Linked DNA regions of Canis lupus familiaris. Each later gene encodes a partner of the first gene's protein in a complex. Links are inferred from orthologs where the notes say so. Each region holds a gene or a part of one and is shown on either strand. Other genes may lie near its edges.

Evidence for each region.
Region 2: the proteins of pre-mRNA-processing factor 40 homolog A (region 1) and SF1 are in contact, whole or in part, in an NMR structure (PDB 8PXX), measured with the Homo sapiens proteins. The link is inferred for Canis lupus familiaris from reciprocal best matches to the Homo sapiens genes PRPF40A and SF1. Residues at the interface, in NP_001352526.1 of Homo sapiens: His164, Ser166, Tyr172, Tyr174, Ser181, Thr182, Trp183, Tyr213, Tyr215, Ser222, Arg223, Trp224; in NP_004621.2 of Homo sapiens: Pro575, Pro576, Leu577, Pro578, Pro579, Gly580, Ala581, Pro582, Pro586, Pro587, Pro588, Pro589, Pro590.

Annotation. Positions count from the first base shown.
Region 1 is NC_049240.1:55,427,859-55,431,674, reverse strand, and holds part of pre-mRNA-processing factor 40 homolog A, read left to right. Parts: intron 1-2,817; coding exon 2,818-2,926; intron 2,927-3,421; coding exon 3,422-3,486; intron 3,487-3,816.
Region 2 is NC_049239.1:52,884,847-52,889,235, forward strand, and holds the start of SF1 (splicing factor 1), read left to right. Parts: upstream 1-1,565; coding exon 1,566-1,953; intron 1,954-3,258; coding exon 3,259-3,387; intron 3,388-4,389. UniProt on the Homo sapiens protein: Necessary for the ATP-dependent first step of spliceosome assembly. Binds to the intron branch point sequence (BPS) 5'-UACUAAC-3' of the pre-mRNA. May act as transcription repressor.

The DNA.
Region 1 (3,816 bases):
AAGCTGTGATCAAGACAGCATGGTACTGCATGAAAACAGACACATAGGTCAGTGGAACAGAATAGACAACCCAGAAATGGACTTCGAACTCTATTAGTCAACTAATCTTTTGACCAAGTAGGCAAGAATATTCAATGGAAAAAAATAAACAGTCTCTTTAGTAAACAGTACTGGGAAAGTTGGACAGCCACATGCAGGAAAATGAAACTAGACCAATCTCTTACACCATACACAAAGATAAACTCAAAATGGTTGAAAGACCTAATGTGAGACAGGAATCCATTAAAATTCTAGAGAAGAACACAGGCAGCAACTTTTTTGACCTCGATGACAGCAACTTCTTGCAATACCCATCTCTAAAGGCAAGCGAAGCAAAAGCAAAAATGAACTTTTAGGACTTCATCAAGATATAAAGCTTCTGCACAGCAGAGGAAGCAGTCAACAAAACTAAAAGGCAGGCTGTGAAATGGGAGAAGATATTTGCAAATGACAGTTAAGGGGCTAATACCCAAGATCTATAAAGAACTTTAAAACACCCAAAAAACAAATAATCCCGTCAAGAAATGGGCAGAAGACATGAACAGACATTTCTCCAAAGAAGGCATACTGATGGCCAACAGACACATGAAAAATTGCTCAACATCACTTGGCATCAGGGAAATACAAATCAAAACTTCAATGAGATACCACCTCACACCAGTCAGAATGGCTAAAACTAACAAGTCAGGAAATGACCTTTTGAGGAGGATATGGAGAAGAAGGAATCCTTTTATTACACTGTTGGTGGCAAGCTGGTGTAAAACCACTCTGGAAAACCGTATGGAGGTTCCTCAAAAAGTTAAAAATAGAGCTACCCTATGACCCAGCAATTGCACTATTATCTACCCCAGAGATACAAATGGAGTAAAAGTGCACCCCAATGCTCATAGCAGCAGTGTCTGCAATAGCCATAGTGTAGAAGGAGCTGAGATGTCCTTCAACAGAAGAATGGGTGAAGGAAAGGTGGTGTGTGTGTGTGTGTGTGTGTGTGTGTGTGTATTATATATATAATATATATAATAATATACACATTAATGCACAATAATATATATTATATATATATAATATACACAATGGAATATCACTTGACCATCAGAAGGGATGAATACCTACCATTTACATCAACATAGATGGGACTGGAGGGTAATTAAGTAAAATAAGTCAATCACAGAAAGACAATTACATGGTTTCCCTCATATGTAGAATATAAGCAATAGTGGAGAGGGAGGGAGGACTACAAGGGAAGGGAGGGAAAACTGGGGAAAAAAGTCAGGGAGGGAGACAAAGCATGAGAGACTATTAACTCTGGGAAACAAACTGGGGGTTGCTGTAGTGGAGAGGTAGGTGGGGGATGGAGTAACTGGGTCAAGGACATTAAGGAAGGCACGTGATGTGATGAGCACGGAGTGTTATACACAACTGATGAATTACTGACCACTACATCTAAAACTAATGATGTACTATATATTGGCTAATTGAATTTAAATTAAAAAAAGATACATACTCCAGCATGTTGAATGATTATTAATTACATATATGTAAATTTCAGTGTTCTGATAGACATTGAAAGTTTTGGGATGGTATTTTATATATCCTTTTATACTTTTTTTTTTAAAGATTTTATTTATTCATGAGAGACACACAGAGAGGGGCAGAGACATAGGCAGAGAGAGAAGCAGGCTCCCTGTGGATCGACCGGACCCCAGGATCATGTCCTGAGCCAAAGGCAGATGTCCAATCGCTGAGCCACCCAGGCATCCCTATACTTTTATTTTTTTCTACAATAATTTGTTTTTCGTAATTTCAGCAACAATTACTTTCTGCTTATTTTCTTTCTAGTATTTCCTTCTAGTACCTGAATCGTCATAAACTTTTTAATTTCTGCAACATATACCATTTACAGGTGGTAATTTTTGACTGGGCCCTTTATACTATTTCTGATAATTTTGAATAAATTTCCCAAAGTAAGGTTACTTGACTCAGAGGGTATGAATATATTTTGTGTAGTTGTTCCATTTAATATTTGCTCCATTCTCTTCCCCTAAGCATTCTGGTTCTTTTTTTTTTTTTCCTGCGTTATTTTACCTTTATATAGGAAGAGATGTTAGTAGTATATGATCTTTTCATTTTATAAAGACCCCCAAACTAGTGCAGTTGGTAATTCTTGAATATTTTCATTCTTTTTGTTTGATATCAATGTTTGACATACTTTTTTGTGAATTACAAAAGAATATATATATACTTTCAGTTTTGTGGATCAGTCTTAAAATGATGCCGTCCTGTGGTAGCATATAAGAAGCCATAATATATAAACTTATGAGTAAAACTATATGTATAGAAACAGATAGTGGGCTAGATTTGGTTCTCATGAATTGTAGTTTTTCCCATTCCTGATTTAGGTACTCTCAATATCTTTATATTTATGCACACTTGCCCAAATCCTTAGTTACTAAGGCCACTAAAATGAAAACACTAGGTAAGTTTTATAGACCATTTAAAAGTATTCATTTGTGGACTAGTGGAACTAATGTTTTAGTGTCATTGTTTTTTTAGAGGCCCCTATGCAGGGTCCTAATAACTGAATGTTCCAGGAAAAAAGTGTATTACCTTTATGTCTTTATGTTTAAGTAAGTGTGTAGGGTTCATACGGGAGAATTTATTTCTAAAATTATAAAATTTAACCTCAATATCAAATGCTTAAATGATTAAAACATTGTTTTTATAAGCGAAGCAAATGTTTACTTAAGTTATAAATACCATATTTAAATTTCCCTCTAGTTTTACTCCAAAAAAAGAAGAGGAGGAAAGCCAACCAGCAAAAAAAACCTATACTTGGAATACAAAGGAGGAAGCAAAGCAAGCATTTAAAGAATTATTGAAAGAAAAGGTATTAAAGATTTTTATATGACGTGCAATAATTAATAATAAAGTTACTGTTTAATGCAATCAGCACCTTGATGCCTTTTTTGAAAATGCTAATCTCATAAAATGTTGTAACCAAAAATGAACTAAAGTTTTTTGGAGAATATTTCTGTGAAACTGATTTTAACCAAAAAAAATTTTTGTGAATAGTGTATAATACACAGCACATTCTACCTCTGTATGTAATTATGTTTTTTTATTCATAATCTTTTATCTTTTAACCAGTAGTCATAAGAAAAGTATCCTTGCTCTGTTTAAATTTCAGTTTAAGTTTTCTTTTTAGTCTGTACATATATTACCCAGGTTTGCCTTGGTTCAATAAGAAATTATTAGACCTCTTTCAAATTTGAGCAAAGGGAAGTGCTTGATGTTTGCAGTGAGTATTATACTTTATTTCCTGTTGTATGACTTTTACAGTATTTGTGCAAAATTTTAATTTTTGACATTAAATGGTTTTCAGCGGGTACCTTCTAATGCTTCATGGGAACAAGCTATGAAAATGATCATTAATGACCCAAGATACAGGTAATACTTGAAGGTTTTTTTTTTTTTTTTTGAAGTTTTTTATTTACTTTTCCAACTCTAGCAAATTCACAATTGTGTAAAATAGTGTAACTTTTGACTTTGTCTTCTGTTATTTTGGATACCAAGAATAGTTTTTTTATGTCAGATATGAACCAAAAAGCTTCTCATTCAATTTGAGTACAGATGAAATTAGAAGTTTTTGTAAAATAGAAATTATTCTCTGTAATCATTTCTTAATTTTTTATATCTTATTGAAATTTTCTTAATTTGTGAATGAAGTCATTTTTTTCTTCAAAGTATTGACATTTGATCATCCTGCTTTCATTTACT
Region 2 (4,389 bases), on another chromosome or scaffold:
TCTATTCACAGCCTTTGCTCATTTTATATTGTTTTTGTCTTTTTTCCTAATTAGTTTTTAAGACTTCTTTGCATATTAGCCCTTTATCATGTGTGGCAAGTATATCTTCCTAATGTTTTATTATCTGTTGGCTTTTATCCTACAGTTCTAATTTCTTTAGTGATCAAGTATATATTTACTAGTCTGAGTTTCTTGTTTTCCTTAAGTCTCCACCTCTAGATAACCCTGTTGGTCTCCTATATTGTTATTTTAGGTCTGTTTTATTGTTTAAGATCCTATACCATTTGTTAGCTGAATCTTTACTGAATCTACACATGGGGAATCTATTTCTGGTCTATTCTGTCGCGCTCATCTGTCTTTCCTTCAACAAATCACATTGTTTCATTACAGTGTCTTGCACACTATTCCGAAAAGCGAGTTCCTCCTCAACCTCGTTTACAGGTTTCCCCACTATTCTCATAATTATATGACTTTAAGATGATGTAATCAACCCCCAACCTAGTTGATTCTATGGAAATACAATGTATTTGCAAATTAATTTTGTTTTTTTTTTTGTTTTGGTTTTTTTTTTGTTGTGCAAATTAATTTTGAAATCGAATTATTATTGTTTTCTGCCTAAGATGATGTGTTCTTCCATAGGCTCAGTATCGCTTTGATCCTTCAAATAGACTATTTTATAGTTGTTTTTTTTGTTTTGTTTTTTGTTTTTTTTTAAGAAAACAGGAAGTCCCTTTTTACCTGCGGCGCGTCAACGGTTCCGGTTTACGGTCGCGCGCCAGCCCCTCCCCCGTCCCTCGGTTCCGGGTTACTATGGGAATCGAGACTTAACGTCACTAAGGGCTTCCGCGCCGGACCAAGGAGTCGACCATGAAGCGAAGGTCGGAGAGGCAGCCTTGCCCCATCTACGCATGCGCTCTCCTCTCCACTCCTCCCCGGCCGTAAATCTCGTTCTGCCGGGTACCGCCGCGACCTCTCGCTTAATCCCAGAGAAACTGCTCCCCGGGGGAGGAGTAGAAAAAGAACCGGACAAGCGACAGCCAATCCCATGACACTACGACGCAACCGAGCATTGACCCAATCAACTTCAACCAATGAGAAAGACCCTGCCCCCTACGTCACAGAGCTTGCCCCGCCCCATTCCCCTCCTTTCTGGACTCCGAGCTCAGTTCGCGCAGTAACAAATGAAGTGCGCGCTGCGACACCTCCCAGCTCGCCAGGCTCGGCCGCCATTTCTTCCCCCCGGCCTAACGGTCCGGCCAATCCCAGCGTGCATCGAGAGGGGCTAAGGCTCCGCCAATCGGAGGCCGCCGATTCCGACCCCTTGCCTGGGCTCGGCCCAATCCAGGACTCGGACCCGTCGCCCCCGGACCGCCCCCGCGGCGCCCTCTCTCCTCCCTCTTTGTGCGTCTCGCGCCGCCGCCGCCGCCGCCCGCCGCGTGAGAGGACGGGCTCCGCGCGCTCCGCGGCAGCGCAGTCGGGTCCCCTCCCCCCGGAAGGTTCGCGAAGAAGCCGCCGCCGCCACCACCGCCTAAAAGGAGCCGCCGGTGCCGGTCCCCGGGGGCGCCATGGCGACCGGAGCGAACGCCACGCCGCTGGGTAAGCTGGGCCCCCCCGGCCTCCCCCCCGTTTCCGGGCCCAAAGGGGGCTTCGAGCCGGGGCCACCGCCTGCTCCCGGGCCTGGGGCGGGGCTGCTGGTGCCCGGGCAGCCGCCGCCCCCGCCCGTGGGCTCGGTGGGAGCCCTGACCGCGGCCTTCCCCTTCGCGGCGCTGCCGCCGCCGCCACCGCCGCCGCCCCCGCCTCCCCAGCAGCCGCCGCCGCCGCCGCCCTCCCCGGGCTCCTCGTACCCGCCGCCGCAGCCTCCCCCTCCGCCGCCGCTCTACCAGCGCGTGTCGCCGCCGCAGCCGCCGCCACCCCATCAGGACCAGCAGCCGGGCCCGGCCGGCGGCGGAGGAGGTGAGTCGGGCCGAGAGAGCGCGAGAGGCGTCGCGCGGACGGGCCCGGCCGCCTGAGGGGCGCGCGGCGGCGGCGACGGCGGCTGCACGCGGCAGGGGCGCGCGCGCGCACGGGGAGGCCCCGGGCGGAGGCGCCAAGGGGCGCGCGGCCCGGTTCTCGGGCCCCGAGTGCGCACGCGCACTGGAAGGGGTGGGGGGGTGGAGCGCGGAGGGTGTTGTGCGCAGGCGCAGTATGGCTGCCGGGCTTTGTGGCCCGATAATAAATGGAAATGGGGTGGGGGGGCTCTGTGTTGCTCTCTACAGCTTGGTACAGGAGAGGGGTGTCGAGCGGGTTGAATTGGTGGACGGGTTGAGGGATGTGCGTGTCGGGAGGGCGTGAAAGGGTCAATTGATGACGTGGAGCACCTTTCTGATTCTAGAGAAGTCCAAAAGGTAGGAAAGCGAGAGTAATTTATCTCTCTGTGCGAAGTTTTTACTGCAGTGAAAGGAAGAGCTCGAAAAATCCTCAGTGGTGTGGTTGGAGCCGGTGCACTTTTGGAGGAAGGAATATTTTCCTAATCTCCATTCGTTTATCTTAGAGAAGTCTGATATGTCTCCCCTTAGTTGTTGGGGCTTTCCAAGTAGAACTGATTTGTGTGTACCAGATGTGTAGAAAGTTTACGCTTCTGTTTTGGAGGAGGAGTATTTGGCTGCTGTTGGATAGCTTGTATTTTGTTGAACTTTTGATACCTCATTTAGGAGTTCTGATGTTAAGTGTCTAAATTAGCCAGGAAAACTGAATGCTTATCTTGACTAAACTTCTGAAGAAAAAAGTGAGCTTTTTGAAGAATTGGGCTTTTTCACTTAGTAAATTGTAAGTTTGGTTGTGTTCTGGTCCCTTTAGAAAGGTGGCTGGTGGGGTTTGGAGGTGGGAAGAACCAACAGTTTTCTCAGCATACTTTACCACATCTGATTATTCGGTATATTTTGTCTCCCCTGGGGTTTTTAAAACATTTGTGGTTGATGTTGCATATCTGAAACTGTAGGGATTAAGATTTGTTAGCTTGTTTACATACTTCACGTTTTTTTGACATATGTTATAAATATGAAATATGTTTTTGGACCCAGAGCCAGGTATCTTTGTGGCGGCTGTGTGTCTCTGATTTCTTGGGTATGTCTTCCATTTTTTGCCATTTACGTTTTAGGTCAAGTTCTCAGTTTCCCAGTCTGCCGAGGTTGTGTGTAGTATTATAAGTATCGTGAACTGCCTGTTGGTAGTTAGTTTGTTGGTTTATATTTGTATTTGATGGGTTTTCTCTGCCTTTAGACTTCCCAAGTAAGAAGCGGAAGAGGAGCCGCTGGAACCAAGATACAATGGAACAGAAGACAGTGATTCCAGGAATGCCTACAGTCATCCCCCCTGGACTTACTCGGGAACAAGAAAGAGCTTATATAGGTAAATACACGTTCTGCACCCAAATATGTTTTCGGATTGTTATGACTTATTCTGAGCAGCGTTTTATGTGTCCTAAATTTGAGACTTTAAAGTCTTGTTCTTTTGAGATGAGGTATGGTCAGGTGTACTTTTATGACTTCGACATAATCCATCAGTTTTTGCTCTGTAAGTCCTGCATTTGAAGCTCCTGGTTTCGGTCTGTTCGTAACAGCAGTGTTCTCCATGAGTGCCAGGAAGGTAGAGGGACCCATTTAGGAGTGAGGGTAGTCCCCAGTCCAGTACCCCACCCTACACTTTTCAGCTGCTGTTCATTGCCCGTTGGTGAGGTGAGTGTCTTCTGCCTCTCTGGACACGGCCCCAAGTGGAGAACACTGCAGGTATTATAAACTAAGTACCTTTTTCACAGCATGGCCTTTCACCATTTCATATTCTTCCCTCCCCTTCAAATGTGGTCTTTTACTTTTTATAGGTACTTTCTGAAAAACTCAGTTTAATCAAAGAGTGGTCCTGAAAGTGTTGGCAGTATACATCCCTTTTTACGATTTTGTTGAATTTAACCTTTCCTTCAGCATCTTTTCTGGTTTGGTCTTTGGAGAGCTGCCTTAAAACGAAGGCTCTTTTACTATTTATTATCAAAGAATTCTGCTGGGAAAGGGGTACTACTTGGATATGGCATGAGGTGATAGGGTAAAAAAGATCTTAACTGTTGGGAAATTTCAAGACAATAATTATAGTAATTGTCCACAATGTAAATGAAGTTAACCTCAAAATTACCTTTTTTTAAATACAAGGTTTTTAATGCGAGTTTCACCTTTATTCATGTATCTCCAGCTGTCTCCAAAAAGTTCACTTGATAAGCATTTCCTACTAACCAAATAAACATCCCCTTTGGAGTAAATTAGGGCAAAGGCCGCCTAGGCCTGGGAGGCTGTAGCCTTTACAGATAAAAAGCTTCAAGGCTGGCATGTGTTATTCTTGAGGATCATAATCTCTTACATTTTT